Callithrix jacchus: one gene and its partners. The protein of the gene in region 6 interacts with the protein of the main gene of each other region in a pairwise test. Links are inferred from orthologs where the notes say so. Each region holds a gene or a part of one and is shown on either strand. Other genes may lie near its edges.

The links.
Region 1: the proteins of CCNDBP1 (region 6) and THAP10 interact in binary tests that used the Homo sapiens proteins (3 or more experiments, as listed by UniProt). The two-hybrid records come from large-scale screens. The link is inferred for Callithrix jacchus from reciprocal best matches to the Homo sapiens genes CCNDBP1 and THAP10.
Region 2: the proteins of CCNDBP1 (region 6) and NANOS2 interact in binary tests that used the Homo sapiens proteins (3 or more experiments, as listed by UniProt). The two-hybrid records come from large-scale screens. The link is inferred for Callithrix jacchus from reciprocal best matches to the Homo sapiens genes CCNDBP1 and NANOS2.
Region 3: the proteins of CCNDBP1 (region 6) and STK25 interact in binary tests that used the Homo sapiens proteins (3 or more experiments, as listed by UniProt). The two-hybrid records come from large-scale screens. The link is inferred for Callithrix jacchus from reciprocal best matches to the Homo sapiens genes CCNDBP1 and STK25.
Region 4: the proteins of CCNDBP1 (region 6) and AMPD2 interact in binary tests that used the Homo sapiens proteins (3 or more experiments, as listed by UniProt). The two-hybrid records come from large-scale screens. The link is inferred for Callithrix jacchus from reciprocal best matches to the Homo sapiens genes CCNDBP1 and AMPD2.
Region 5: the proteins of CCNDBP1 (region 6) and ZGPAT interact in binary tests that used the Homo sapiens proteins (3 or more experiments, as listed by UniProt). The two-hybrid records come from large-scale screens. The link is inferred for Callithrix jacchus from reciprocal best matches to the Homo sapiens genes CCNDBP1 and ZGPAT.
Region 7: the proteins of CCNDBP1 (region 6) and C1H22orf23 interact in binary tests that used the Homo sapiens proteins (3 or more experiments, as listed by UniProt). The two-hybrid records come from large-scale screens. The link is inferred for Callithrix jacchus from reciprocal best matches to the Homo sapiens genes CCNDBP1 and C22orf23.

What each region holds. Positions count from the first base shown.
Region 1 is NC_133509.1:17,925,339-17,928,838, forward strand, and holds part of THAP10 (THAP domain-containing protein 10), read right to left. Parts: intron 1,707-3,500; coding exon 1,559-1,706; intron 1,451-1,558; coding exon 1,410-1,450; 3' UTR 1-1,409.
Region 2 is NC_133523.1:40,065,208-40,068,467, forward strand, and holds NANOS2 (nanos homolog 2), read right to left. Parts: upstream 2,050-3,260; 5' UTR 1,966-2,049; coding exon 1,540-1,965; 3' UTR 501-1,539; downstream 1-500. UniProt on the Homo sapiens protein: Plays a key role in the sexual differentiation of germ cells by promoting the male fate but suppressing the female fate. Represses the female fate pathways by suppressing meiosis, which in turn results in the promotion of the male fate.
Region 3 is NC_133507.1:162,779,750-162,783,249, reverse strand, and holds part of STK25 (serine/threonine-protein kinase 25), read left to right. Parts: intron 1-481; coding exon 482-538; intron 539-962; coding exon 963-1,071; intron 1,072-1,828; coding exon 1,829-1,986; intron 1,987-2,075; coding exon 2,076-2,261; intron 2,262-2,450; coding exon 2,451-2,596; intron 2,597-2,863; coding exon 2,864-2,978; intron 2,979-3,247; coding exon 3,248-3,319; intron 3,320-3,500. UniProt on the Homo sapiens protein: Oxidant stress-activated serine/threonine kinase that may play a role in the response to environmental stress.
Region 4 is NC_133508.1:147,514,377-147,518,666, reverse strand, and holds the start of AMPD2 (AMP deaminase 2), read right to left. Parts: upstream 2,801-4,290; 5' UTR 2,766-2,800; coding exon of another isoform or gene 2,698-2,765; coding exon 2,607-2,697; intron 2,436-2,606; exon of another isoform or gene 1,558-2,435; intron 1-1,557. UniProt on the Homo sapiens protein: AMP deaminase plays a critical role in energy metabolism. Catalyzes the deamination of AMP to IMP and plays an important role in the purine nucleotide cycle.
Region 5 is NC_133506.1:59,197,956-59,202,035, reverse strand, and holds the start of ZGPAT (zinc finger CCCH-type with G patch domain-containing protein), read right to left. Parts: upstream 2,801-4,080; 5' UTR 2,762-2,800; exon of another isoform or gene 2,667-2,761; intron 2,314-2,666; 5' UTR 2,286-2,313; coding exon 1,732-2,285; intron 1-1,731. Other genes in the region: ARFRP1 (ADP-ribosylation factor-related protein 1), read left to right, coding at 3,623-3,715, 3,961-4,048. UniProt on the Homo sapiens protein: Transcription repressor that specifically binds the 5'-GGAG[GA]A[GA]A-3' consensus sequence. Represses transcription by recruiting the chromatin multiprotein complex NuRD to target promoters.
Region 6 is NC_133509.1:30,932,093-30,935,592, reverse strand, and holds the end of CCNDBP1 (cyclin-D1-binding protein 1), read right to left. Parts: intron 2,658-3,500; coding exon 2,597-2,657; intron 841-2,596; coding exon 794-840; intron 527-793; coding exon 412-526; 3' UTR 57-411; downstream 1-56. UniProt on the Homo sapiens protein: May negatively regulate cell cycle progression. May act at least in part via inhibition of the cyclin-D1/CDK4 complex, thereby preventing phosphorylation of RB1 and blocking E2F-dependent transcription.
Region 7 is NC_133502.1:208,953,240-208,957,495, forward strand, and holds the start of C1H22orf23 (UPF0193 protein EVG1), read right to left. Parts: upstream 2,801-4,256; 5' UTR 2,601-2,800; intron 2,334-2,600; 5' UTR 2,325-2,333; coding exon 2,225-2,324; intron 158-2,224; coding exon 95-157; intron 1-94. Other genes in the region: POLR2F (DNA-directed RNA polymerases I, II, and III subunit RPABC2), read left to right, coding at 3,285-3,346.

The DNA of each region.
Region 1 (3,500 bases), about 13 Mb from region 6:
CTATTCTCAATAGAAGATCAGAGTTATGGTATGCTTCTCAGAAACCACTGTAACAATTTACTTCATGGTACAAAATCACCAGAGAAATTTTTCATGGTGAATGGCAGATGGGGTAGCTAATATTTCCATGCTTATTTCTCAAATGTAGAATTCAAAAGAGGGGTATTGACAGAAAGAAAACCTAACACCTGCAATGGGAATACATTAGAAATGTAATACTTTTTTTCATGATGTTAATGATTCTAAATTAATCAAGCTAATTAATGTGTTGCAGTAGGAACTGATGCAAATAGATTTCATTAATAAGTTAATGTAAGTGTATGAAAACTCCATCTCTAAATTGATTCTCTTTGAAAAATTTCTGTAAGAACCACAGATTCATCAGAAATGCTCACAGGACAGATCCATATATGTTATCAATTGACAAACTAATAAATAAATAACATAAAAAGTAGTCAAGGGTAGATGTCATTCTAGAAGAAGTTCTAGATTTCACTACCAAATCAATTAGTAGTGTCAGGCACGGCTGTGCTCACTGTTATTACTTTATTCCTTCAAATTATTTAGAAGAATAGTGACATTCTAACCAGCAAATGTCAAGTAAATCCCATAGAAGCACTGCTTCTGAACTAAGCTTAAATAAATATTCAATGCTTAACTGTGATTAGAATACGTTGTTGATATTGCGGTTTTGCTTTGTAACCTGATTTCTACCGAAAGGATTAAAAGGAAAAAAAAAAGTGAGGTAGGGCATGATGGCTCATGTCTGTGATCCCAGAACTTTGGGAGGCCGAGGTGGATGGATCACCTGAGGTCGGGAGTTCCAGACCAGCCTGACCAATGTGGAGAAACCCCGTCTCTACTAAAAACACAAAATTAGCTGGGTGTGGTGGTGCATGCCTATAATCCCAGCTTCTTGGGAGGCTGAGGCAGGAGAATCCCTTGAACCTGAGAGGCGGAGGTTGCGGTGAGCTGAGATCATGTCATTGCACTCCATCCAGCCTGGGCAACAAGAGTGAAACTCCCTCTCAAAAAAAAAAAAAAGAAATAAAGAAAAGAAAAAAGTGTTGAAAGTAGAGTGTAGGGATGTTTGTGGGTAGGGATTATCTTCATTATGTGGCAAGCAAGCAAACTTTTGCCATAGAGCTAAACAAATTTTGCTGGTACTCAACTGTCAAATTATCTTGAAGTGAAAGATTTACAATAGCAAAAACAGTAAAGATTTGAAAATCTATAGCACATCAGAGCATTTGAGGTTGGGTTTTTAACATGTCTCTTCTTTCACCTGTATAGCTATATAAGAGAGATCACTCTGTTCACTCTTGATATCCCAGTCTGTATCTGTTTCTGAATCACTGGAGTAAATGTCAAAGAGAGAAGAAGTTCTAGACTACAATAGAGTAGTTGCATTACAGTCTTTTTCCAAACACTTTCACTTTGGCTTGAATACCTGGAAGAGAATAAGTGTAAGTACCGAGGAGTTAGACTTTGCTTTTCATATATCTTGAATATGCAAAAGATCAATTTAATTGCTTAATCCATTGGAGTCAAAACATACCCACACTACGGTGAGAAGGCCTTTTCAAAGAAATTTGTGTAATTTTATGCACTGGCCCTTCTTCACAGTGAGTAGGCACTGCAGTGACATTATTAGATGGATTATCAGCATGGCCTTGGGTTTGCATAACTTCATTTTCACATGTAATCTAAAAATATAAATCATAGGAGAATCGTATTAAAGTTAAGTCTACCTTGCAGGGTTTTATCTTTCAAAAGTCACAAGTAGTAAAAGAGTATAGCTAAAAAATTTCAAAGTCACATATTAGTATGGTCGATATTTGAACCTAGGCAAGGTGAATCTATACTCCAAGCTTTTAAGAATTCTGCCATACTGCCGGGCGCGGTGGCTCACACCTGTAATCCCAGCACTTTGGGAGGCTGAGGCGGGTGGATCACGAGGTCAAGAGATCAAGACCATCCTGGTCAACATGGTGAAACCCCGTCTCTTCTAAAAAAGATGGATCACCCCTGGCCTCAGGTGATCCACCCACCTCGGCCTCCCAAAGTTCTGGGATTACAGGCATGAGCCACCATGCCCAGCCAAGATAATACTATCAGTATTAACTTAATTTGATATCTTAGCAGTCATATTATTCTAGAAAACCTAATCATTTGTTCTTTATAGAGAAGAAAATAAATGACTTCAATACTTTCCTGAGAAAAATTACATTGTGAAATGAAAATTTATTTTATTTTTTTTTTGAGACAGGGTCTCTCTCTGTCACCCAGTCTGGAGTGCAGAGGCATGATCTTGGCTCATCCTCCACCTCCCGGGTTCAAGCAATTCTCGTGCCTCAGCCTCCCATGTAGCTGGGATTACAGGTGCCTGCCACCACGCCCGGCAAATTTTTGTATTTTTAGTAGAGATGAACTTTCACCATGTTGGCCAGGCTGGTCTCGAACTCCTGGCCTCAAGTGATCTGCCTGCCTCAGTTTCCCAAAGTGCTGGGATTACAGGCATGAGCCACTGTGCCAGGCCATGAAATTTCGTTTGGGGGAAGTGATAAGGGTAAGAGGTAGAAAGAAGGAGGGTTTAGATATGCAAAAGACAATATAAGACAGGGTACCTAGAGATTATATGGAAGAGAGTAAGAAAAGGTATCTGGAAAAGGTAGGAGGGCCTGGAAGGAGAGAAAATAAGTGAAAGAGAAATGAAAACAAAATTAAAGTAGTTAGCAATTTTACCTACAGCCTTCAGGTAGTGGCAGCTGCCTTCAAAGCACTGAAAAAATATTTTAGCAGGTGTCTTTGGTGGCTGTACCATAGGCTATTGGTACTCAAGTTAAAGAAATTTTGTAGCCAGGCACAGTGGCTTATGCCTCCCAGCACTTTGGGAGGCTGAGGCGGGAGGATCACCTGAGGTCAGGAGTTCGAGACCAGATGGGCCAACATGGTGAAACTCCATCTCTACTAAAAATACAAATATTAGCTGGTGTGATGGCCCATCAGCTACTTAGGAGGCTGAGGCACAATAACTGCTCGAAGCCAAGAGGTGGAGGTTACAGTGAGTCAAGATCAAACCACTGCACTCCAGGCTGGGCAAGACTGTCTCACACACACACACACACACACACACACACACACACACAACTTTGTGAATAAATTCTTGTAAAGAGTCCCTTTGCAACATGAGTCTTATTTAAAGGGCTTATCTCTATTCATGTTTATAAAATAATGATCAATTTTCAGTAGTTACATCTACTTCTAAGCCAAACATTGTCAAAGTCTAGAATAAGCACATATTTCTTTACAAAAAGGTGTATTCTGGATAAAATAGAGTTTTAGATATTTAATCAGGGTTTAAAAAATAACTTTTGTTCCCTTTATAATAATAATACATTTTTAAACTGCAAATATTTGCACCATACAAAGAAGCAAAAGAAACTAAAAATTAGTCATAATCTCACAATCCATGGCTAAAACTTTATATTTGATGTGTT
Region 2 (3,260 bases), on a different chromosome or scaffold from region 6:
CCATTGCACTCCAGCCTGGGCAACAGAGCAAAACTCTGTCTCAAACAAAAACCAAAAAACCCCCAAATTACCAGGTGTGGTGGCACACACCTGTAGTCCCAGCTACTTGCCACCCCGTCTCTACTAAAAATACATAATTAGTCGGGTGTGGTGGTATGTGGCTGTAGTTCCAACTACTCGGGAGACTGAGGCAGGAGAATCTCTTGAACCCGGGAGGCAGAGGTCGCAGTGAACTAAGATTGTGCCATTGCACTCCAGCCTGGGCAACAGAGCGAAACTCTGTCAAAAAACAAACAAACAAACAAAAAAAACCAATAAAACCCAAAAATTATCTGGGTGGTGAGCACCTGTAGTCCCGGGTACAGCTACTCTGGAGGCTGAGGCAGGAGGATCACTTGAACCCGGGCAGTGAGCCGAGATGGCGCCACTGCACTCCAGCTGAGGCGACATCGCAAGACTCTGTCTCACAAAGAAACCGAAGACAGAAACAGATAGAACCATTTCAAAGATGACTGTAGAAACTTTTTATTCACCAGAGCTCAATACTCAGGGTCTGAGCCAAAAACTGAACAACTTAAAATCTGACGGGGGCCCTTCTTTTCTTTTCCCCTAAAATAAAATCTAGGCTGTTGCCTTTTCCATCCAGGTACTCAAACTCCTTTTTATCGGAACTTCCTTGACTTAAACGTTGGAGGACGAAACACACAGGAGGAAAAAATGTACTTTAGACAAGTATCATGATTTATGGGGGCGGATGGTAGGTGGCGGAGAGATGCGTGGCTCGCTGGGGGAAAGGACCAGTTGGTGATCTGGGGATGGGGGCAGGTACCGAGTGCAATGGGCTGAACAAGGAAAAGAGCAACCAGGGAGCATTGAAACGGGTCAGCTCACCCCACTGCTCTCCATCCATAGGTGAGCCTGCGAAGACATGGTGCTCTCCAGGGACACGGGGCCGTCCAGCGTCCCACTGAGGTCCTGAGGGATGGATGCTGAGGGCAGGGAATGAATGAACCGGTGTGGTCCACGATGACACCGCGGTTCTGCAGGAGGCTGAAAGTGGAGAAGGCTGGTCTTAAGTCGACATCCCGTCTTGAAGTTCTTGGGTGGGCACTTCTGAACCAGCCTTGTTCAGTGTCTCCCGAGGGCTGGTTTGGAACAGCACTGAGGAATCCTGGAGGTTCGAATATCCAAGAACTCCAGGGGGAACGGAGAAGTCGAAGGGGCAGGGCTCTTGTCACCAGCAGGCCCCACGAGGACAAAACATCCACGAACCGGGACCCAGAGGGCGCTGCAGGGCTGTGCAGGCCGGGTTCCCGGCACACCAAGGACCCTCGGATGCTTGAGCTCCGAGGGCTGACAGGTCCAAGGGGGCGGGGCTGGCCTGGCTCCCAGCAGCCTCCCCTGTTTCAGGATCCAGCAGGGTGGAGTTCTTGGGGCCAGAAATTCCAAAGGGCTGGGTGACTGGAGAAGAGAGTGGAGGGACTTGGGTGGGATGGACCAGGAGGGTCAGGGGTGTGGGTGGTGGGCATCTCACGGTCCTCAGCGCTTGACCCTGCGTCCAGCCGAGTTGCGCCCGCTGCGGCGGTACAGGGACTGCTGGCCACCGTTGAGCGGGCAGTACTTGAGCGTGTGGGCCTGGCCGCCGGTGGCCCCGCACACGGGGCACACATAGTGCCTCAGGATGGGACACACCACCATGCCGTCCGGTGTCTTCAGCTGGTGTGAGGAGTAGACGTTGTGGGACTCCCCGTTGTGCTTGCAGAAGTTACACAGAGTGCCCAGGCCCCCGGGGGCCCCCGGCCCTCCCAGTCCCTGATCCTGCCCCAGTGGGGGCCCGGGACTTGGCTCATCAGTTTCTTGAGTCTCCAGCTTTTGCCCCCGACTCTCAATCAGCTCCCATACTAACTGGCTCAGGTTGAAGTAGTCCTTCCACATGTCGAAGGGTGGCAGCTGCGGCAGCTGCATGGCACCAAAGCAGGGGTGGTGGGCACTGGAGAGGGGCTGGGGCTGCAGGCCTGTGGGCAAAGGCAAGAGCAGCAGGCGTTTCCCGGAGTAGAAAGGAGCTGCACCCCCTTTTATAATCCCCAGAAACTCTTCTAAGCAAAGGTGGAGCTTAGGATTTAAAGGGGCCACTCCCACCCATAACCCCCATCTGACTTTAGTACTTCACGGAGATCTGGAAGGAGGTCATTCCCCTGGTCTCTGGTTCCTGCTCTGCCGCCAAGGTGTTCTGTGTCCTCTGAGAAGACACTTCCACTTTCTGTGCCTCAGTTTCCCTATTTGTTCAAAGAAAGTCCATGTTTGCAAACATCTCCCACTCCTAAGCTGGAGTGGCTGCACCCTTCGTAGACTTCAAAGTGATTCCTAATCATCATAACAGCCAGGCTGGGTGCAGTGGCTCACACCTGTAATCCCGGCAGTTTGGGAAGCTGAGGCAGGAAGATGGCTTCAGCCCAGAACCTCTAGGCCAGCGTGGGCAAAATAGCCAGACCTTCTCTATAAAAAATAAAAAGACAAAAATAGTAATAACATGATCTGATTTATTTTATTTATTTGAGACACTGTCTCGCTCTGTCGTCCAGGCTGGAGTGCAATGGTGCGATCTCGGCTCACTGTAACCTCCGCTTCCTGGGTTCAAGTAATTCTCCTGCCTCAGCCTACAGAGTAGCTGGGATTACAGGTGCCGGCCACCAAGCCCAGCTATTGGCCAGGCTGGTCTTGAACTCCTGACCTCAGGTGATCCACTTGCCTCAGCCTCCCAAAGTGCGGGATTACAGGCATGAGCCACTGCTCCTGGCCTATTATTTTCATTTTACAGAGAAAGATAGAAAGCCTGGAGAGGTTAAGGAATGTATCCAAGGTGACAGCAGGGAAATGGCAGAGCCAGGTTTCATACTCACTCTGGGAACTGGGAATTGATGTTAGAAGTGGCAGAGGACCTTGGCATGGGACAGTCTCATTTAGAATGCCCCCTCTTGGGCTGGACGTGGTGGGTCACACCCGTAATCCTAATACTTTGGGAAGCTGAGGCTAGAGAATCACTTGAACCCAGGAGGCAGAGGTTGCAGTGAGTCGATATCGCACTGTTGCACTCCAGCCTGTGTGACAGAGTGAGACTCCGTCACACACACACACACACACACACACACACACACACACACAAAGGTGATCCTGAAATTTGAGAACAGCATGGGGGCTGGAGTGGCTAGAATGGAGGGAAGGTCCCAAGATGAAGCCAGCATGGTTTGCAGGGGCTGGAC
Region 3 (3,500 bases), on a different chromosome or scaffold from region 6:
GGCTCTGAATGACCATTGGGGCCCACTTGCCTGCCTGTGGGAGTGGCATGAGGGTGCTCCTAGGAGTACTCTGGGGGGCCCCTGCCAGCAGTGGTAAGTGGGCCTGTGAGGGGCAAGTGATGGGTGGTGCCCAGGGTCTGGGGTGTAGTGAACGCTGTGCCCATCCTGCCCAGGATGGTGGGTATATCGGCCTTGTGTCTGCCAGGCATTCCTTCTTCCCAGCCCTGCAGCACTCGGTCAGCAGCCTCGTTTTCAACAGGGTCTTGGTGAAGTGGATTCGATCGGTCCTCCTAGTATCTGTACAGGGGTGTGGCAAGAGGGGAGATGGGCAAGGCCGAGGGAGCCCTTTCCTGGTTAGGGTTCCTGGCAAGGGTGAGACCGGCGGGGCCTGGGCCCTGGCTGACTCTGGCCTGTGACTCCTACCCCGGAGTCTGCCCTTCCTCCTGCTGCCAAATGCTGATGGGCTTGTCTCCGGTCCCAGAGCACCAAGCTGTGGATCATCATGGAGTACCTGGGTGGCGGCTCTGCGCTGGACTTGGTGAGGCCATGGTTGTGGGGGGTCATGCAGTGCCCGAGTCCCCTGCCCCTCAGACTCATGGGCTCCAGGGGCCACCTGTCTCGTGTCATGCTGAGTTAGGTGTTAGTTAGGAATCGTCTAAAGCAAAAATGAACTGCCAGCCGCACATCTGCCCAGTTGGTGCTGAAAGGGGTCCTGGCCTGTGGCAGTGGGTGGGGACAGCACGCTGGGAGATGGCTGGGACCCTGTTTTTCTGCTACACGACAGTAAGGTGAAGCTGGCTTATATGCTTTAGAATGAGCCTCCACTACCCCACTCCCATCTGAGACTTAGTTCTGTTTGAGAGGTAAAGGAACATGAAGCCCCCAGCTCTGCAGGGACAGCCCTCCCCCGTCAGAGGAGCCTGGGGTGGGAGCTGAGGCCTGCTGTCCCACCTTCTCTCCAGCTGAAACCAGGCCCCCTGGAGGAGACGTACATTGCCACGATCCTGCGGGAGATTCTGAAGGGTCTGGATTATCTGCACTCTGAGCGCAAGATCCACCGAGACATTAAAGGTCCTGCTGGGGTGGATGTGGCTCTTGTATTGTCCTGGGCCCCGCTGACCTCAGAGGCTGGGGCCTGTGAGGGGCAGGTGGCTGGTGGTGCCGGGGTCTGGGATATAGAGAACCCTGTGGCCCCCCTGAAACTGAGCAGTGCTGTCTTGCTCCATTTCCAGAAGATGCTGCTCGTAACGGTTTCCCAGTACGCTGAGGAAACCAGCTGTGCACCCAGTATAGGAAGGGGCCACACTTAGATGGAGTTGTTGCTTCCCGCCTGTGGCCCATGGTATAATGGCAGGTGTAGACTGAGTAGCCTTGGCATGTGGTCTGGCCCTGCTGAGTGCAGACGAGAGGCTGGGCCAGCCCATGGGGAGGGACTTACCACTGGCACCGAGCCATCTGCCATGTAGGGGACGAGTCTGGTGGAGCGAGGGGCTTCCTGGCAGGCCTGTGTTGTCCACACCCTGGGTCAGGGTCACCTCTGCACTGGCCCCCAATGGGTGAAGTAGCTCTGTTGTTGGGATTTGTTGTAAAGGCCAAATGCAGGCAGAGCCCTGGAGCTCAGAGTGGGAGCCCTGGGCCTCCTGCTTGGCACTGCCCCAGTGGCCCTAGGTGGCCCTGGGTTTGAGAGTGGCAAGGGGGGCTGAGGTCCTGAGGACAGCTTTTCTGCACCCTGGGAGGCCAGGTGGATGGTACCCTGGCCCTTCTCAGGGGACCCTGGGTGGAGCCATGTGGAGCCTGGGGTGACACCTGCCTGTCCTGTGTCAAGCAGCTGCCAACGTGCTGCTCTCAGAGCAGGGGGATGTGAAGCTGGCAGACTTTGGGGTGGCCGGGCAGCTCACAGACACGCAGATCAAGAGGAACACGTTTGTGGGCACCCCCTTCTGGATGGCGCCTGAGGTCATCAAGCAGTCCGCCTACGACTTCAAGGTGGGTGCAGTGGGCGGGCGGGCAGGTGCGGGCTCCGGTGCACCTGGCTCAGGTGCTCAGGGCAGTGACAGTCCTTGTGTTCTCTCCAGGCCGACATCTGGTCCCTGGGGATCACGGCCATTGAGCTGGCCAAGGGGGAGCCTCCAAACTCTGACCTCCACCCCATGCGCGTCCTGTTCCTGATTCCCAAGAACAGCCCACCCACCCTGGAGGGCCAGCACAGCAAGCCCTTCAAGGAGTTCGTGGAGGCCTGCCTCAACAAGGACCCCCGATTCGTAAGGCCCGCCTTTGGCCCTCCACATGGAGGAGGGAGGGTGTCTGCTCAGTGAGGGCAGCACAGCCCGGAGGCCTCAGCACCGCAGCCTCATAGCTGTGAGGACCCGCTCCGGTCCAGGCTGCCTCATGTTCGCTTCCCTGAGGCAGAGCCTGGCTGGCCTGGTGACCTGTGTTCTGACCCCCCACAGCGGCCCACGGCCAAGGAGCTCCTGAAGCACAAGTTCATCACACGCTACACCAAGAAGACCTCCTTCCTCACGGAGCTCATCGACCGCTACAAGCGCTGGAAGTCTGAGGGGCATGGCGAAGAGTCCAGCTCTGAGGACTCGGACATGTAGGGGCCTGGTTTGTCCTCATGGTGACCCTAGGTGCTTTGACGGGGGTGGTCCCCACTCCAGAGCAGGTGTGGGTGCTGGGGTTGTGGGTGGCCAGGTGTGGTGTGGGGCAGGGACCCCCTCAGGCTGTGCGACAGGGCCTGCTGTGGCATCTGCTGGACGCCATGGCCTGGCAAAGCCCCACCAGGTGCCATGAGGTGTGCCCTGAGGCTCTCGTGCCTCCTGCCCTCTCCCCACTGGCCCTGGTAACTCCTCATCCTCTTCAGTGATGGCGAGGCGGAGGACGGGGAGCAGGGCCCGATCTGGACATTCCCCCCCACCATCCGGCCAAGTCCACACAGCAAGCTTCACAAGGGGACGGCCCTGCACGGCTCACAGAAGGTCTGTCCCTGGCCTGGCCTCTGCCCCATGTGCATGTGCTAGGAAGATGAGGGACTTATTTGGAGCCAGATTTGTGAGGGGAGGATGGGAGTCACAGGAGCCTGGACTCAGGCCATCTGGGTTGCTTGATGTTTTGGAGCCAGTCCTGGGCGTGTGCCTGACAGGCTGCTCCCAGCCTCTGTCCCTTTAAGGCCAGAGCCTGGGCAGGGGTGGGAGTGCCCTGCCTGCTGCCCGCACTGCCCTGCTCACCCTGGGCTTCACCTCTGCAGCCCGTGGAGCCCGTCAAGAGGCAGCCAAGGTCCCAGTGCCTGTCCACGCTGGTCAGGCCCGTCTTCGGAGAGGTGAGGATGGGGCTGGGGCTGGGCTTGGGGTTCCACCAGGGACAAGGCTGTGACACTGTTCCATGAAGTTGTCTCCTCATGGTGTCATGGGGAAGTTTCAGTTTCTAGGTTTCCTGCAGCTGATTATGGGCTGGGTTTTCTGGGTGGAAGGAGCAGAATCTGCTGCGGTGACTCCTTTTGT
Region 4 (4,290 bases), on a different chromosome or scaffold from region 6:
GCTGGCCAAAGGGTAAGAGGGGAGAAAAAGGAGAGGAGCAGCTCTCTCCACACCCACAGCCCCAGGTCGGCTTCCCCTGGCAGTGGCCTTGTTGCTCACCACTGTCCTCTGGGCCCTGACTATGGGGTCCCTCAGGAGAGACAGGGTCTCTGCTGGGGAAGGAGCTGGCTGGCAGCTGAGGAAATGGCCCAGTCACTGAGGCTTCCTCGCCACCCAGCTGCTCAGGGGACTGGTTCACAGGCTCCTGGACCTGCAATGCCTGTTCCAAGCTACCATCCGGGATGGGACAAACTGTCCAGGATAAGTTTGGGAGAAAGGGAGCTAGGATGTGGAGGGTGTGGGTCTGATTCTGTTCCTGCCGACAGGCATGTCTCCACCTACCTCTGGGAGGCTTTGTCCTCATCTGCAAGTGAGACACAGTATGTGGTCCCTTCCTGCCTAGCCACAGCTGCCATAAGAGATAATGGCTCTGCAAGCATTCTGCATAACACCAGGCTGTGCTGAGGTGAGGGCCTACAATTACAAACTCCTGGGACCCTCAAATACCTTCTACTTGTCGCCCCACCCATTGAGAACGGTGGAAGGCCCAGTGCAGGGCGAAGGCAAAGGCCAGTAAAGGGCAGTGAACTTGGCACGAGTGGAGATGCGGGTGACTAAAGAGGGGAACTGGCCGGGCGCGGTGGCTCACGCCTGTAATCCCAGCACTTTGGGAGGCCGAGGCGGGTGGATCACGAGGTCAAAAGATCAAGACCATCCTGGTCAACATGGTGAAACCCCGTCTCTACTAAAAATACAAAAAAATTAGCTGGGCATCGTGGCACGTGCCTGTAATCCCAGCTACTCGGGAGGCTGTGGCAGGAGAATTGCCTGAACCCAGGAGGCGGAGGTTGCGGTGAGCCGAGATCGCGCCATTGCACTCCAGCCTGGGTAACAAGAGCGAAACTCCGTCTCAAAAAATAAAAAAAGAAAAGAGAGGAACTTGCCTCACCCCCAGAGCGTAAGATCTTTTCTTGCTCAAGAGCCCTGATTCTACACACCTCCTCCCTACCTATGGCCCCAGACCACTTCTAACTCCATCTAGAGGAGGCTGACCGCAGACCCCCATGGCTGGTTCATACTGGGACACCAGGAGTCGAGTCAAAGGCCCAAATCTCAAGCCTCTCTCCTAGCAGGGGAGGTCTAGGGCTCCACAGCAATCCTGGGCTGAGCAGCACAGATCCCAACAGCCAGCGCCATCCCCGAGCCTGCCAAACCACTCTCCAGGGCTGTTCGGGCTCACTGAAGGTGACACATGGGCAGTAACCTCTATGCTCTCAGAGGCCGGTCCTAGAAGACTCAGCTCCCTACTGGCCCTTTCTCTAGGGGCCAGCACCGCACATTCATGTAGGAATCAAGCAAAAGCCAGAGCAGACCACTCCACAGCCACTCCCACCAACTCCGAGATTCTGAGCACCCCATCTCACCTCCCGACCAGGAGCCCCTCACACACTGCCAGGACTGCCTCAGTAGGCACCGAGGTGTCCACGGTTTTGACCCACAAGTATCAGATGCTCTTACCATCTCACCACCAAAGGGTCTCTGGTTCTTGGCTAGATCTATACCAGTTGTCCTACTGCTGACCCAAACAGGGCCAGGGAGGGACCCACCCAGAGGACACCCTTTCTGGATGGCACAGACCTCCGGACACTGCAGACCTTGCACCAGGCATCTTCAGTGAAACAATAGGGGATGTAGATAATCGGGCTGTAGCTACAGACTGCTGCAGGGGTGGGAGCAGTAAGCACGATCTGGTCATCAAAGTCAGGGTGGGTCCTTTCTTAGCCACAAGGCCTGGGGGCAGACAGCAGGCAGACATTCCTCTGCAAGCGCACAGCCAGGCAGCTAAGCCCTCACTAAGACAGACACTGCCGCACCACGTTGCCTGCTCCAATGGTGCAGAGATGCTTACTAGAGTGAGAGACGAACCAAAGGGTGCAGGAGCACACGCAGTGCAGGCAGCTGCCCCAGACTGAACCCTGCACAGACCTGACGAAGGACACCCCATGCTCCTAAGGAGGCTCAAAACATAGACCAGGAATGAGCAAATAGCAAACAACAGATACAGTCAAGCCCCCAGCTGTGGGATGCCAGCCAGCAATGGTTGTGCCCAGATGTCAGACCCCCAGTGAAAGGGATCTAGATGTGGGGTGCTGGAAAGAGGAGCTAGCCACAGGAGAACAGCCTGAGCCCGCCGGTAAAGGCACAGGCGCCAGTCAGAGCGGCCAGTCCGCAAAGCAGTCAGTCCCACACCCCCCCACTCCATTCACACACGCTTCGCACGCAGTCGTAGCACATGTACACGCTGACACGTGCATACACACCTCTTGCTGCATCCACACCATGCCCACTGCTCTGACAGGACAGCATCCCTGGCACAGACATCTCAGATCCACCCCCCCACCTCCCTACCCCACCTTCCAAGCCAGCCGGCCCTGGAACTGAGGTTGAGGGGCACCACTGCAGAAGGATGCCGGAGGAGGTGGCCCCCCTCTGAGGGACCAGCCGCTTGGGCGAGAGGTGGCGGGACAGAGCCTAGCATCTATCCTGAGGCCAGGAAGCACACTCACCTGGAGCTGCAGTGGAGGCCTGCGGGCTGGCCCGCTTCTTAAAGGGATATTTGGCCTTGGGCTTGCCAGAGCCAGATGGATAGGATGCCATGGCTGGGACCACGGCGGCGACAGCGGGGGAGTCTGAGCGGCACCGGTTGGGGCCTGGCTCTGCCACATCCAACCCCTTCCTCCGCCCCGCCCCCAGCGGGAGTGACTGATGCAGGAAGCAGCGGCTCCGCAGGCGGAAGAGGCCTTGGCCACGATTTCTCCTGTTGTCTAGGCAACCTCGGGAAGTGGGGCCTCTATCTCTGCCCCTTATTCCTCCCCTCCCTCCTCAGTCCCTGGAGTGACGTGACTGATGATGTCTGGGCCTGGCAGGGGGCGGGGGAGTGGGTGGGCAGAAAACAAGACGGGGAAGGGCCAGCCCCCAGATCTCCACTAAGTCCCCAAGAGCCCTCACCCCATCATGCCAGGGCTCCAGGGCAAACAAGCCAAAGTCCAGGCTAGCTGGTCCTTCCAAAAAGAATAACAAACAGGAATTCAGCCGCGAGCGAGCCCAAGCTCAAATACAGTCCTCCCGGGGCAGGGCAGGCTTACATACTCCGTGAAAACCCAGCACCCCTTTTCCTTCCCCATCTGACCCTCAGCTTCAGGGGCAGCCCAGCTCTGGGAGGAGGGGAAAGAACCGAGAATCCCAGCCCAGGAGGGAGGAGCTCGTGCTGGGAAAATTCCACCGTCGCCAAAAAGGTGCCTCCTAGGAAGGCCAGGAGACTCCCTTATCTGGGGGTCTGGGACAGAGACCCCAGCCTCTTCGGATTTTTCCTCTGTCTCTGCACACTCTGACTCTGCTCCCCAGGCCCTCCTAGGAGGACCTGACCGCCTTCCCTAGGTACTGCAGGCTGCGCTGGGACTCCCACTCTCTTGGCACCCTGGTCACAGCACTTCTCTGTCCCAGAGACCCTCCCTCCAAAACCCGCACACACACTCACCTGAGGCCATGCTGCCTGAGTCCCGAGGGGAGGCTGCCCACGAGGGTCTGCACAGCAGAAATCCTGGGTCCTGAGGGAGGGCAGGGGGGTCGGGGCCCAGACCCCGGCCAAGTCGTTCCAAGGGCCCTCGCCCGGGCACTGAGATGGGGGAAGTAAGGTAGTCTTTCAAAATTGTCAGCTGGCCGGAGGCGGACTCCCGCAGACCTCGGCAGCCGGACTGGCCTCAAGGCGACCCCGGCGTCGCGACCACCCAACCCCGCAATCGAGAGGCAAGTGGGCCACGTGCTCCCAAGAGAGCGGGACCCGGAACTCGTCCACGTTTCTCTCAACACTCCCTAGGCATTTACGGTCGGACTTCTGCGGCCGGACTATGGGGGAATCACGCAACAGGTGCGACCCTACCAAAATCTCGCCGGCTACGCGCCAGGCTCTGCGGCCCTTGGCCCCGCCCACTCCTGGCCCCGCCCACGCCTGGCGACCCCGCCCCGCCATTTTTCCTCTTCCTGGGCGCCACGTGGGCAGCCACCACACCGCGGTAGGGCTGGCCTGAGCCGACCATGGGTCTTGGGCCAGTTCTGTGCGTCAGCTTCCTCATCAGTAAGATGGAGTAATGACCCTACCTCACTCTAAGGGGTTACTGTGAAGATTACACAGTGTCTCGCATGAAGTCAGGGCCCAGTGAAAGGTAGCTGTTATTATTGTCCCAGGATTCA
Region 5 (4,080 bases), on a different chromosome or scaffold from region 6:
CAGTACACGCATGTAGTATCAGCTATCAGAGAGGCTGAAGTGGGAGGATGGCTTGAAGTAGGGAGGCAGAGATTGCAGTGAGCTGAGATTGTGCCACTGTACTCCAGCCCGGGTGACAGGGCAGCAAGACCCTGCTTAAAAAAAACAAAAACAAAAACCCCCACAAAGTAAGACATCCAAAGAACTAGGAGTGCTACCTGGCCAGCCTGAACTATTGGCTAAAAAGAAAATTACCTACTAGAAAGCCTGGTAAATATTTCTTCTCAGAGAAAAGTAAAAAGGAGCAAAAATAAAGCTATGCGCTTATGGAAATGGAGACATCATGGTAATAGCTGTGGATATTCGAACATGGAAGAGGTGCTGCCATGAAACGTGTTATCTATAATGATGTGGAAGTGACTCTTTCTTGTCTTCACACTGACTTGGACTTTCAAAAAGTTACTTTTTAAGTAATATTTCCTTATCAGAGATCCACTCTGAAGTATTCATAGTTGGAAAAACCCAGTACCTTCTGAAATTTGCTTTAAAATATCCAGGAAGGGAAAAAGCGGGGCGGGGGAACAAGCAAAATGATAATAGACTGTGGGCAGTGATTATGCTAGGCTCTCTCATCTGGGGCAGGTTTCAAAATTTCCATTAAAGTAAATTTAAAAGTTGAATTCTAGAGAATAAAACTGACAACAGGGCCGGGTGCGGTGGCTCACGCCTGTGATCCCAGCACTTTGGGAGGCCAGAGCGGGTGAATCACTTGAGCTCAGGAGTGTGCGACCAGCCTGGGCAACACAGCAAAACCGCACCTCTACTAAAAATACAGAAATTAGCTGGGTGTGGTAGTCCAGCTACCTGGGGGACTGAGGCAGGAGGATCAATTGCGCCCAGGAAGTCCAGGCTGCACTCCAGCCTGGGTGACAAAGTAAGACCCTGTCTCAAAAAAACAAACAAAACTGACAATAGGTTGGGGACCTATTCTCTTTCACATAAGCCTCGCTCTGTTGCCCAGGCTGGAGTACAGTGGCTGAATTTTGGCTTACTGCAACCTCAGCCTCCTGGGTTCAACTGATTCTCCTACCTTAGCCTCCTGAGTCGCTAGGACCACAGGTGCCTGCCACCACGCCCAGCTGATTTTTGTACTTTTTTTTTTTGAGACGAAGTCTCACTCTGTCACCAGGCTGGAGTGCAGTGGTGTGATCTGCAACCTCCACTTCCTGGATTGAAGCGATTCTCCTGCCTCAGCCTCCCGAGCAGCTGGGACTACAGGAACACACTACCATACCCAGCTGGCTTTTATACTTATAATAGAGACAGGGTTTCACCATGTAGGCCAGGATGGTCGCCATCTCTTGACCTCGTGATCCGCCCGCCTCGGCCTCCCAAAGTGTTGGAATTACAGGCATGAGCCACTGTGCTTGGCCGATTTTTTGTACTTTTAATGGAGATGGAGTTTCGTCATGTTGACCAGACTGGTCTCCAACTCCAGACCTCAGGTGATTCCCCCCCGGGCCTCCCAAAGTGCTGAGATTACAGGCGTGAGCCACCTTGATTAGCCTCCTTCCATGCATCCTGCTCTTATCCCAGAAGAAAGAGGCACATGCCTAAACAAGGATACTGCTTTCACAGCCCGCCTGCCCCAGGAAGCTGGGACCAACTGCAAAGGGAGGGCCGATCCTGACCTGACCCTGTATGTGCACCCCGTACGCCTCGAGGTTGCCATCTGACAGCAAAGGGCTTTACCTGCAGTTCTCCTTGAAGCGACACTTTCCCTCCAGGAAGAACGGGCAGGGCTTCAGGGACTTGTGAGTGGGGTACAGGTAGAGCACACGGACACCCGCCGAGCCATCCTCCGCCTCTTCTGTGCCCACCACCATGGCGTTGTGATACTCCAGGGTGCCCCACGAGCTGTAGTAAGGCGCGCTCACCTTGGTCCCACTCAGCTCTTCCTCCTCTCCCTCTTCCTGCCCACCTGCCTCAGATTCTGGCCCCGCCTCTGCTTTAGGAACTGTCTCTGATCCGGCCCCAGGGGCCGCCTCGGCGATGACCTCCCGGAAAGCCTGGTACTCAGCATCTTCCTGGCCCAGGCGCTCTCCGTCCAGCGCGGCCAGCAGCTTGCTCTTCCTCACGGACACCAGGCTGGCCTCGGTGAGCTCGATGAGCTCCTTCAGGTCCCCCTGTAGCTGGCGCAGGTCGGCCTGCTCGGACGAATCCAGGCCGGCGCCCAGGGCCAGCTCCACCTGCTGCAGCTGCGCACGGTAGGTCTGCAGGGCAGCCTCCAGGCTGTCCTCATCCATGTTGAGAGAGGGAGGCGCTGGACCGGAGCTGCGAGAAGAGGGGCCTGGTGAGCCCCGCGTCTCGGGACCGACACGGAGCGAGGGTCTCGCAGCCGCCACCACAGCCTGCGGCGGGCACGGGCACGTCCCCTTTCCCTCGCGGAGACACCGGTTCAGAGCGATAGCTCCCGGCGCGGAGGTCGCAGCCCGGTACCCCCGCTCGGGCTCCGCACTTCCCTTCCGAGCCGCCCCGGGCTCGCTGCTAGCCGGGTTCCGCGTCACCCCCTCCCCGCAGGGCGACCCCGCGCGGCCCTCCGCCGAGCGCACCCGCCGCGCCCGCAGCCTTGCAGGCTGGTCCCGACCCCCGCCCGGCCTCTCTTCCGTCCGGCCAGGGCCGCGCACCTCCTCAGCGCGGTTTCCCAGCCGCCTCCATAGAGAGCCCGCCGGCCTCACCGGCTAAAGCAGGCCGGAGCCCCGCTTTCGCCCTCGCAGCCTACCGGCACTTCCTCCCGCCGCAGCCGCCTCCGGAAGTGCCTGGCGCGCGGTGGCAGCCGGGAAGCGGAGCGCAGAGGCCGCCGGGACGCGATTAAGCTTCTGCCCCACGGCCCGCGTCCCGTCAGGCCCCGCGCGGGGTCGGTGCCGGGTCAGCAGCGGCGGCTTAGAGGCCGCGGCGGACGCAGGTAGGTCGGAGGCTGTGCGGCCGGGCCCGAGGCCCGAGAGGCGGCCCTGGACTCGAGGTTGGGACGCGGGTGTGACAGGAACCAGCTTTAGCAGCTTGTCGGCGAGCCTCGAACCTGGCGGCCGCGACTGGCAGCCGCCGGGAGCCCGGGGGCCCGAGCGCAGTTCCTCCTCCGCGGGAGTCCGTCCCCGCCCGCCGCGCGCTGCCTGCGGGTCCGCTCTCCACAGGCCGTCCCCGTTTTAAGAAACGGGGTGATGGGGCGCCTGCAGGGGCTCCTGGCTGTTACTGGGTGGGGCTCGCGGCCGAACACCCGAGGGCGCTGTGCCCAGGCGGGGCTGCAGCAAGTGCGTTCCCCGTTCCGCGCGCGTGAAGCGTGGGAGCGACGCGGGGGGGAGGGCGGGGGCGCAACCGAGCTCACTGTGAACACTGGCGGGGTGGTCCCGCGGGCAGGGAGGCCCCGGGGCAGGAGTGGCGGAGGGTGGCTGATCTGGGAGAAGTTACGGAGGCCGAAGAGTCACAAAGGGATGGGGTGGAAGAGAGATGAGGAGTCGGGAATGGCCCCAGGTTCTAGTCCTGAGCGGTCAGCTGGACGTGGAGCACCACTGACCACCGTGGAGAAACTCGGGGGGCGGGTGCGTTCTTGCTGTACAGTGACATCTGTCGGGGTGTCCAGGGCAGGATGTACACGCTGCTGTCCGGCCTGTACAAGTACATGTTTCAGAAGGACGAGTACTGCATCCTGATCCTGGGCCTGGACAATGCTGGGAAGACGGTGAGTGCCCCTCCCTTGCCTGAGCCCCTCCCCACGACCTGGTGTCAGCTGCATGCTCACCACCCAGACAGAATCCAGACTTCTGAGAAGACAGGGTAGTCACCGCCAGCTTCTTGAAGAGCAGAACGTTGCTTTGTTTCTGTTTTTTGTCTTTTAAGGAGCAGGCCTGAGTAAGGATATTTGGGAAAAAGACTTGGGAAACACTGTAGTCCCTATTTGATGTGTCTGCCTCCCTCTCTCCTCAGACCTTCCTGGAGCAGTCGAAAACCCGGTTTAACAAGAACTACAAGGGGATGAGTCTATCCAAAATCACCACCACCGTGGGTCTCAACAGTAAGGGGTCTGAATAGCAGGGCTGTGGGTTT
Region 6 (3,500 bases):
TTTTAGTCTCAATCCACTGTATTTCTGGTAAAAAGAAACTTTGGAAGGGCACTCAATCACTGGCAGGTTAGCATTTTATTGAGACCATCAACATCTTTACAATGAAAACAATTTACAGCAAAAAGCAAATAAGGCAGCTTTCCTAGGAATCTCTGAGAAATGACTCAGGAATGAGAAATCATGCAATTATTTTTTACATATAGCACAGAAAAATATATTATTTGTATATGGTTTGTAAATAGGTGCCAATCTGGACTAACCAACAATCTTTGGTAATAGTGTCTCTTGCTAAATATAAACAGGCATTGCCTCTCAATCCAGCAAGCATTCTAGCTCCATTTTAAAAGGAGACATCAGAGCCTGACCATGATGGTGAGAAGAGGAGAAGAGAGTATAAATGAACCTGAAAACTCATAATTCAAGTTCTCTTTGTGTGAGCTCCTTGATTCTATTCATGCAATGATCAATGGCATTAATAAGTAAAGGGATCCAACTATCTTCTGGCTGAGGGGTCACATGACTTGCTCTATGAATAGAATAGAAAAAAAAATAGGTTAAACTTACTAGGGTGTCCTCAGGGAAAACCTGTCCTCAGGAGGGAGCACAGGGAAAACTGTAATTTTTTAAAGGGGTGCTTCTTTGCAGAAACTCAGCTGCCCCACAACTGAAGTTGAAAGAAAATCCCACACCCACCCTTTCCCACTCCTTGAAATGGGGGCTTAGGAGTTGAGAATGTCTGGACAGGAGCTCCACTTTACTCTCAAAAAGCTATCTGAAAAGTCTTCATACTTACTTTGTGATTTCAAGCACCTTCTTTAAGACAGCCACAAGTTTCGCAGACTAGAAAAGAAACATAGAAGTTACTCACCCTGAGCCCTACCATAAAAAGGCAAGCTCAAATATTTTAAAAGACTCAAATGATTAAAATATATATATTTAGAAAACGAACCCTGAAGGAAGCACGCAAAAACAAAAATGCTGATTAGGTTAGGGTGATGGGATTATGGGTTCTTTTCTCTTTAGCAAGATCTTGTTAATATTGTTACTATAACGTTTTAATAAGATTTTAAAAATCCAAAATATTTTCAATTTAGAAAAGAATAGAAAAGGGAACAATGTAACCTGAATTGGTCCCAAAAGCTGATAGCTCAAAATATAAAGCAGAAATGACTAAGTTTCCTGTTTTTTTTTTTTTTAAACCTTATAAAAGATTTTAACACTGCCAATATAATAATAACATGGAGACATTTCTCTACTAAAAATACAAAAATTAGCTAGGCATGGTGGCGCATGCCTGTAGTCCCAGCTACTAGGGAGGCTGAGGCAGGAGAATTGCTTGAACCCAGGAGGTGGAAGTTGCAGTGAGCTGAGATCACACCACTGTATTACAGCCTGGTGCCTGGCGATGGAGTGAGACTTTCTCTCTCAAAAAAAAAAAAAAAAGATACATATGCAGTATACATTTTAAAATTGCTAGAGCAGATGCTATGTTTGGGATAGTTGACTAGGCATACTGCTAAAGATGTTTATTTCCTAGGGAGTCAATTTTTTAAGTTAATGCCCAAAAGGATCCTATTCTACTTCAAGGTGTTTGTACATCATGAAGAACATCTGACGAATCTAGTTTCCATTATCCAATTTATCAGCTATTACTAGAATTGATACGTTCAACTTTAAAATATAAGCCATTTGGCAGTTTTAGGGCTCTTTCCAATAACAGTAGAAAGAACTCTCTCTAGTAAATGGCACAGAACTTCAAAGAATACAATAAAATCAGATATTTATAAGAAACTTGACTCTCCATGGTTAAATCACACAATGTGTTTGTATTAGAACAGAGTATGTTTCTGTAACACTTATTTCTGTCTAATGTAGAATTAAGAAACTTGCAACCTCAGCGAGCTACTTCATCAACAGCTAGAGTTCAATCTAATTGCTGCCTAGTCTAGAAACTAGAAACTTTTGACTTCAGGTTGAGAAGTTCCTAAATTACTGTGTAATTAAGACTTTCTTTTCAAATAAGCATTTTCTTTTTTCTCTTTTTTTTTGAGACAGAGTCTTGCTCTGTTGCCCAGGCTGGAGTGCAGTGGCGCGATCTTGGCTCACTGCAACCTCCGCCTCCTGGGTTCAAGTGATTCTTCTGCCTCAGCCTCCTGAGTAGCTGGGATTATAGGCATGTGATGCCTAGCTAATTTTTGTATTCTTAGTAGAGACAAGGTTTCACCATGTTGGCCAGGCTGGTCTCGAACTCCTGACCTCAGGTGATCCGCCTGCCTCAGCCTCCCAGAGTGCTGGGATTACAGGCATAAGCTACCACGTCCAGCCTCAAAGCAGCATTTTCTAAGGCCTTTAGGCTTTTCTAAATGATTACCCAGGTAATGATGGAAGAGAGAACTACCAAAGCTCATGGCTATTATAATTCAACTTTAACAAATATTTATCAAGCACAAATGCATGCAAGAATTGCGACATTACTGTTGTACTTCCATCCAAATGTGACAAATAAATATGTACCCTATAGCTTAGAGGAAATACTAGTGATTAGTGAAATTCTTCCCATTAGATATGTAGCTATTCCCTCAAAGCCAGTACTTACATTGATTCGCACAGTCAGGTGACACATAGGTGGATATATGCTCAGAGCCAAATCATCCACACTAAGAGCAGAAAACAAAAGTAACCATTAACAAAAAAAGAAATGCAGCCAGGTTGTTTCTAGCACACAACTATGGATGTCAACAGTGAGAAACTGTCCCAGAAATGCCTGTCATTTTTTTTTTCTTTTTTCTTTTGCTCATCTGACATCCAGGAAGCCTGTCAGTTTTTAAAACTGGGCAATTGGGCAATCAATGCAGAATGAGTTCAACCAGTCTTTATTGGAACATGCATATCCCATTTCACGAGGAAGCTGGGGGAAAAATTCCCTTGGTTCATAGTAGGGTACATGATCGATTCAGTCAAAAATGTGAGGATGTGAAACCATCAGTTTAATACCTAATGTAAGCAGGCAGGGTTCATCAATGGAAACTAAAATTAGAGTAAAAGGTATCTTTCCTAAAGTGAGCACCACTTTAACCAAGTGATCAAATTTAGAACCACCAATAATGAGGCAAACCAACATCATGTACCTCCCTGATATGATAAAATGAGGAGCACAAAACATTCAATTATATGATATTCTTGCAAAAAATGAAAAAACAATCACATGAATCCAGATTGTTGGATATTTTACAAGACAACTGACCTGGTTTCTTTTTAAAATGTTGATTTAAAAAGACTACAAAGGATAGGAACTGTTCTAGCTTTCAAGAGATGAAAGAGATGACAATTAAATGTAATGTGAGACCTTGACAGAACCCTGAATTTAGATGACATTTTAGATAGAGACAACTGGACAAATCTGAATATTAGATAATATTATTACATTCAATGTCAAATTTCTTGGAAGTGACAATAAGAGCAGGAATAAAAGTACTTCAGGAGATACATACCTAAGTATT
Region 7 (4,256 bases), on a different chromosome or scaffold from region 6:
TTAAATGAGGTCCTCTCTCCCTTAACATGGAGAAGCATTAAGAATGTGGCCCCAGATCCCTCTGGCCTGGAAGCCGCTGTGAATTGCCCCTTACTTTTCACGATGTCCATGATGTGGCGCTGCTGGGTGTTCGTCAGTTTGGATTCCTTCATCATCACTACAAGACAAAGCATTCAGTTTGTATGAGGCCTCCTGGCTGCAGGCAGATGTCTTCACCTGACATCCTAGCCCCATTCTGCACTGAGCATGCCTTCTCTATCCTCAATGCCTTTCCTGCTTAGTTTTTACTTTTTCTTTCCTTTTTTTTTTTTGAGACGGAGTCTCGCTGTGTCACTAGGCTGGAGTGCAATGGCGCAGTCTCGGCTCACCGCAACCTCCGCCTGCCAGGTTTAAGCGATTCTCCTGCCTCAGCCTCCCAAGTAGCTGAGACTACAGGTGTGCGCCACCATGTCCAGCTAATTTTTGTATTTTTAGTAGAGACAGAGGTTTCACCATGTTGGCCAGGATGGCCTCGATCTCTTGATCACGTGATCCACCCGCCCCAGCCTCCCAAAGTGCTGGGATTACACCATGCCCAGCCCCTGCTTCGTTTTTTCTACAGCACTTATCACCACCTAAAATTCTATATATTTTATTTTATTATTTATCTTTCTATTTAGCTCATGATAAGAATTTTTGCTGGTTTAATAAAATTTCTGCCCTCTGTTAACAAATATTTTTTCTTCTTTTTCTTTTTTCACTGTGGTATCCCCAGCACCTAAAACAGAGTCTAAGGCACATTAAAGAGTTAAACATGTTGTTGTTGGTGGGGCACGGTGGCTCATGCCTGTAATCCCAGCTATTCGGGAGGCTGAGGCGGGCGAATCATCTGAGGTCAGGAGTTTGAGACCAGCCTGACCAACATGGAGAAACCCTGTCTCTACTAAAAATACAAAATTAGCCAGGCGCGGTGGCACATGCCTGTAATCCCAGCTATTCGGGAGGCTGAGGCACGAGAATCGCTTGAACCTGGGAGGCAGAGGTTGTGGTGAGCCGAGATGGCATCACTGCACTCCAGCCTGGGTAACGAGCAAAACTGTGTTTCAAACATAAGAAAATGTTGGCCAGGTGCGGTGGCTCACACCTGTAATCCCAACACTTTGGGAGGCTGAGGTGAGCAGATCACGAGGTCAGGAGATCGAGACCATCCTGGCCAACATGGTGAAACCCCATCCATCTCTACTAAAAATACAAAAAAAAAAAAAAAAAAAAAAAGCTGGGCATGGTGGTGTGTTCCTGCAATCCCAGCTACTTGGGAGGTTGAGGCAGGAGAATCCCTTGAACCTGGGAGGCGGAGGTTGCAGTGAGATGAGATCGCGCCACTGCACTCGAGCCTGGGTGACAGAGTGAGACTCTGTCTCAAAAAGCAAAACGTGGTTGAGTAAAAGAACACATGAACACTTGTTCATCACGTTTCAGAGGCTGGAGGTACAGTCGTGAGTTGAAACAGACACGATTCCTGCTGATGAAAGAGGGATAGATGGGACACCAAGTGACTGAGCCCAGTGAAGGAAAATGTGTGCGGGCACACAACAGTCGAGCCTACTGTGGTGGTAAGGAGGAGACAGGTCTTCCCGGGAAAGTTGAAAGTGTGATCTAAAGCATGCATAGGAATTAATTACTCTAAAAATGTTAGTTGACTTTTGGCAAGCTGTAGCACCTTGAACCTTCCCTCCCTCCCCCGCTCCTGCCCACTAAGGTATATGCAGTAGAACTTGGAAGCTTCCTGAACCCCAGGCTCCTTATCTGTAAAGGAAAATAGCAATAATTGCTAAGCCACAGGTCAGGTAGGGGAGAACTGAGTTACAGAGGGTAACTACCATCATTCTTTTCTCATCCTTTAACTCGGGTTTCCACCCGTCCCCCACCTGCCCCGTCCCCCGTTCCTGGACTGACACCAGTCCCTGGCCTGTTAGGAACAGGGCCGCACAGCAGGAGGTGAGCAGCGGGCTAGCGAGCGTCACCGCCTCCTTTCAGGTCAGTGGCAGCCTTAGATTCTCATAGGAGCGTGAACCCTATTGTGAACTGCGCACGCGTGGGATCTAGGTTGCAGGCTCCTTATGAGAATCTAAGGAATGCCTGATGATCTGAGGTGGAACAGTTTCATCCCGAAACCGTTCTTGTCTTCCACGACAGCGGTCCCTGGTGCCAAAAAGGCTGGGGATCGCTGCTTTAAAGCACTGACCTTCGAGCAGCTCGCAGGTCCCCGGGGTGTAAGTGGTCTTCTTGGGGCGGCGCCGGAACCCCGTTGCTTTGGTCACTACTTCTATCTTCTGTGAAGCCATGCAAGGACCCTGAGGAGGGAAGGATGCAAAGACACACCCTCTGTCTCCTATCCCTAATTTCCTCTTCCCCACGCCCACCACCCTAGAAGTCTGGAAGCGGGGATCCAGCCAGAGAATCGTGATGCCGCCATTTAATATCGAGACAGTGCCCAAACCTCCCATCCGGACACAGACAGATACACACACAGAGTCCTCATTCTGACCCAGCGCCTGTGGCAGGGAAGTCCCCTCGGGAGGAAGGCAGTGTTAACATAGCCAGATCAGAACAGTACCCACTGAGAGATATGCCAAAATTGAAATTTCACCCTAAGACCTCCTCTGGGTGCTCCCTTCTCCACATAGAGGTGAGCTCTCGGAGGCGGTGACCACTGCTTTACAGCCGCAGCCGCACCGGTGCCACGTAGAAATCCTACGCGATCTGGGCTGCTAGAGCTGGCAACTAACAACTGTGGCTACCGTGGCTACCATGGTAACGCGCCCACGAGTCAACGCATGCGCCCTTTCTCTCTCGCGCCGTCCTGCCTCCCGGAAGTGATGCCTCTGGGTTACCGCGCAAGCGCAGGATAATCGTGGCGCCGCGCGAGTCGTAGTGGAGCCGTTTGCGGGTCTCCGCGCGGCACTGGGGAGCAGCGGCGTCGCAGAGACTAGGGTGTCATGTCAGACAACGAGGACAAGTGAGTGCGAGAGCCAAGTGGCCTTTGCGGCAACCTCAGAAGGGGCAGATGAGGCAAGGCGTGGGTCGAAGGCGGCTGAGGAGCCTGGCGTCGAGGGGCAACGTCTGAGGGGATTGGCGGCCTGAGGGGGCAGGCGGTGCCGGGGAAGGAAAGGGCGGGGACCCAGGAGCATCGGCCCGACCGGAGACCGGGCACGGGAAGCTCCTGGCTCGAGGGTCCGGATAGGATCCGTAGGAAAGGTGTCTTTCGGTGAGCCGGGCTCTGTGTCATGGGAATATTGAGGTGAATGAGGAATCGTCCCTGCCCTCCACGTGCTCGCTTTCTAGAACAGGGGGCACAGGCCCATAAGTAAGTAAACAGGTCATGGGAGTCGCGTGAGCTTCTCCAGTTCTAGAAGTATGTAATATAGGAGTTCTCCAGAGAAGGGTCTGGGGCAGCTCCACCGGTGGCATTAAATACAAGTCTGGAAGGGTTGGTTGCAGTAATCTTATTTTTATTTTTTTTTTAGACGGAGTCTTGCTCTGTCGCCCAGGCTCTGTAGTGCAGTGGCGCGATCTCAGCTCACTGCAGCCTCTGCCGCCCAGGTTCAAGGAGGGATTCTCTTGCCTCAGCCTCCCGAGTAGCTGGGATTACAGGCATGTGCCACCACATCTGGCTGTTTTGTTTTTAGCAGAGATGGGGTTTCACCATGCTGGCCAGACTGGTCTCGAACTCCTGACCTCAAGTGATCCACCCGTCTCAGCTTCCCAAAGTGCTGGGATTACAGGTGTGAGCCACTGTGCCCGGCCTGGTTGCAGTAATCTAGGTGAAAGTCAGTAGCTTGTGGTAGGGTGGTAGGAGCAGAGGTGGTGAGAAGTGGTTTTGAATTCTGGATATATTATTATTTTAAAAGTAGAGCCAAAAAAATTACCTGTTGGATGTGTGGGCACAAAGAGATTTAGTGTGAAGATAAAAATAAGAAACGTGTGGGATTGCTACAACATTCTCAGTGTCAGTAGAGAAAAGGAGATGACCCGTGGCTGAGCGTTCGGGCATTCAAACGTTGAGTGCTTGGAGGAAAAGAGAAGCCAGGGAGGTGGGGGAACACCAAGAGAGTGAGGTGTCGTTGGAGTCAAGTGAGGAGAGCGAGTGGCCTAATGTGTCAGCTGGTAGATCAGGCTAAATGAGATTGAGAATTGGCCATTGGATTTAGCAACGTGGAGATCATTAATGAACTTGGGAAGAGGGGTTTTGATGGAGCTCTTGGTGTGAAAGGCTT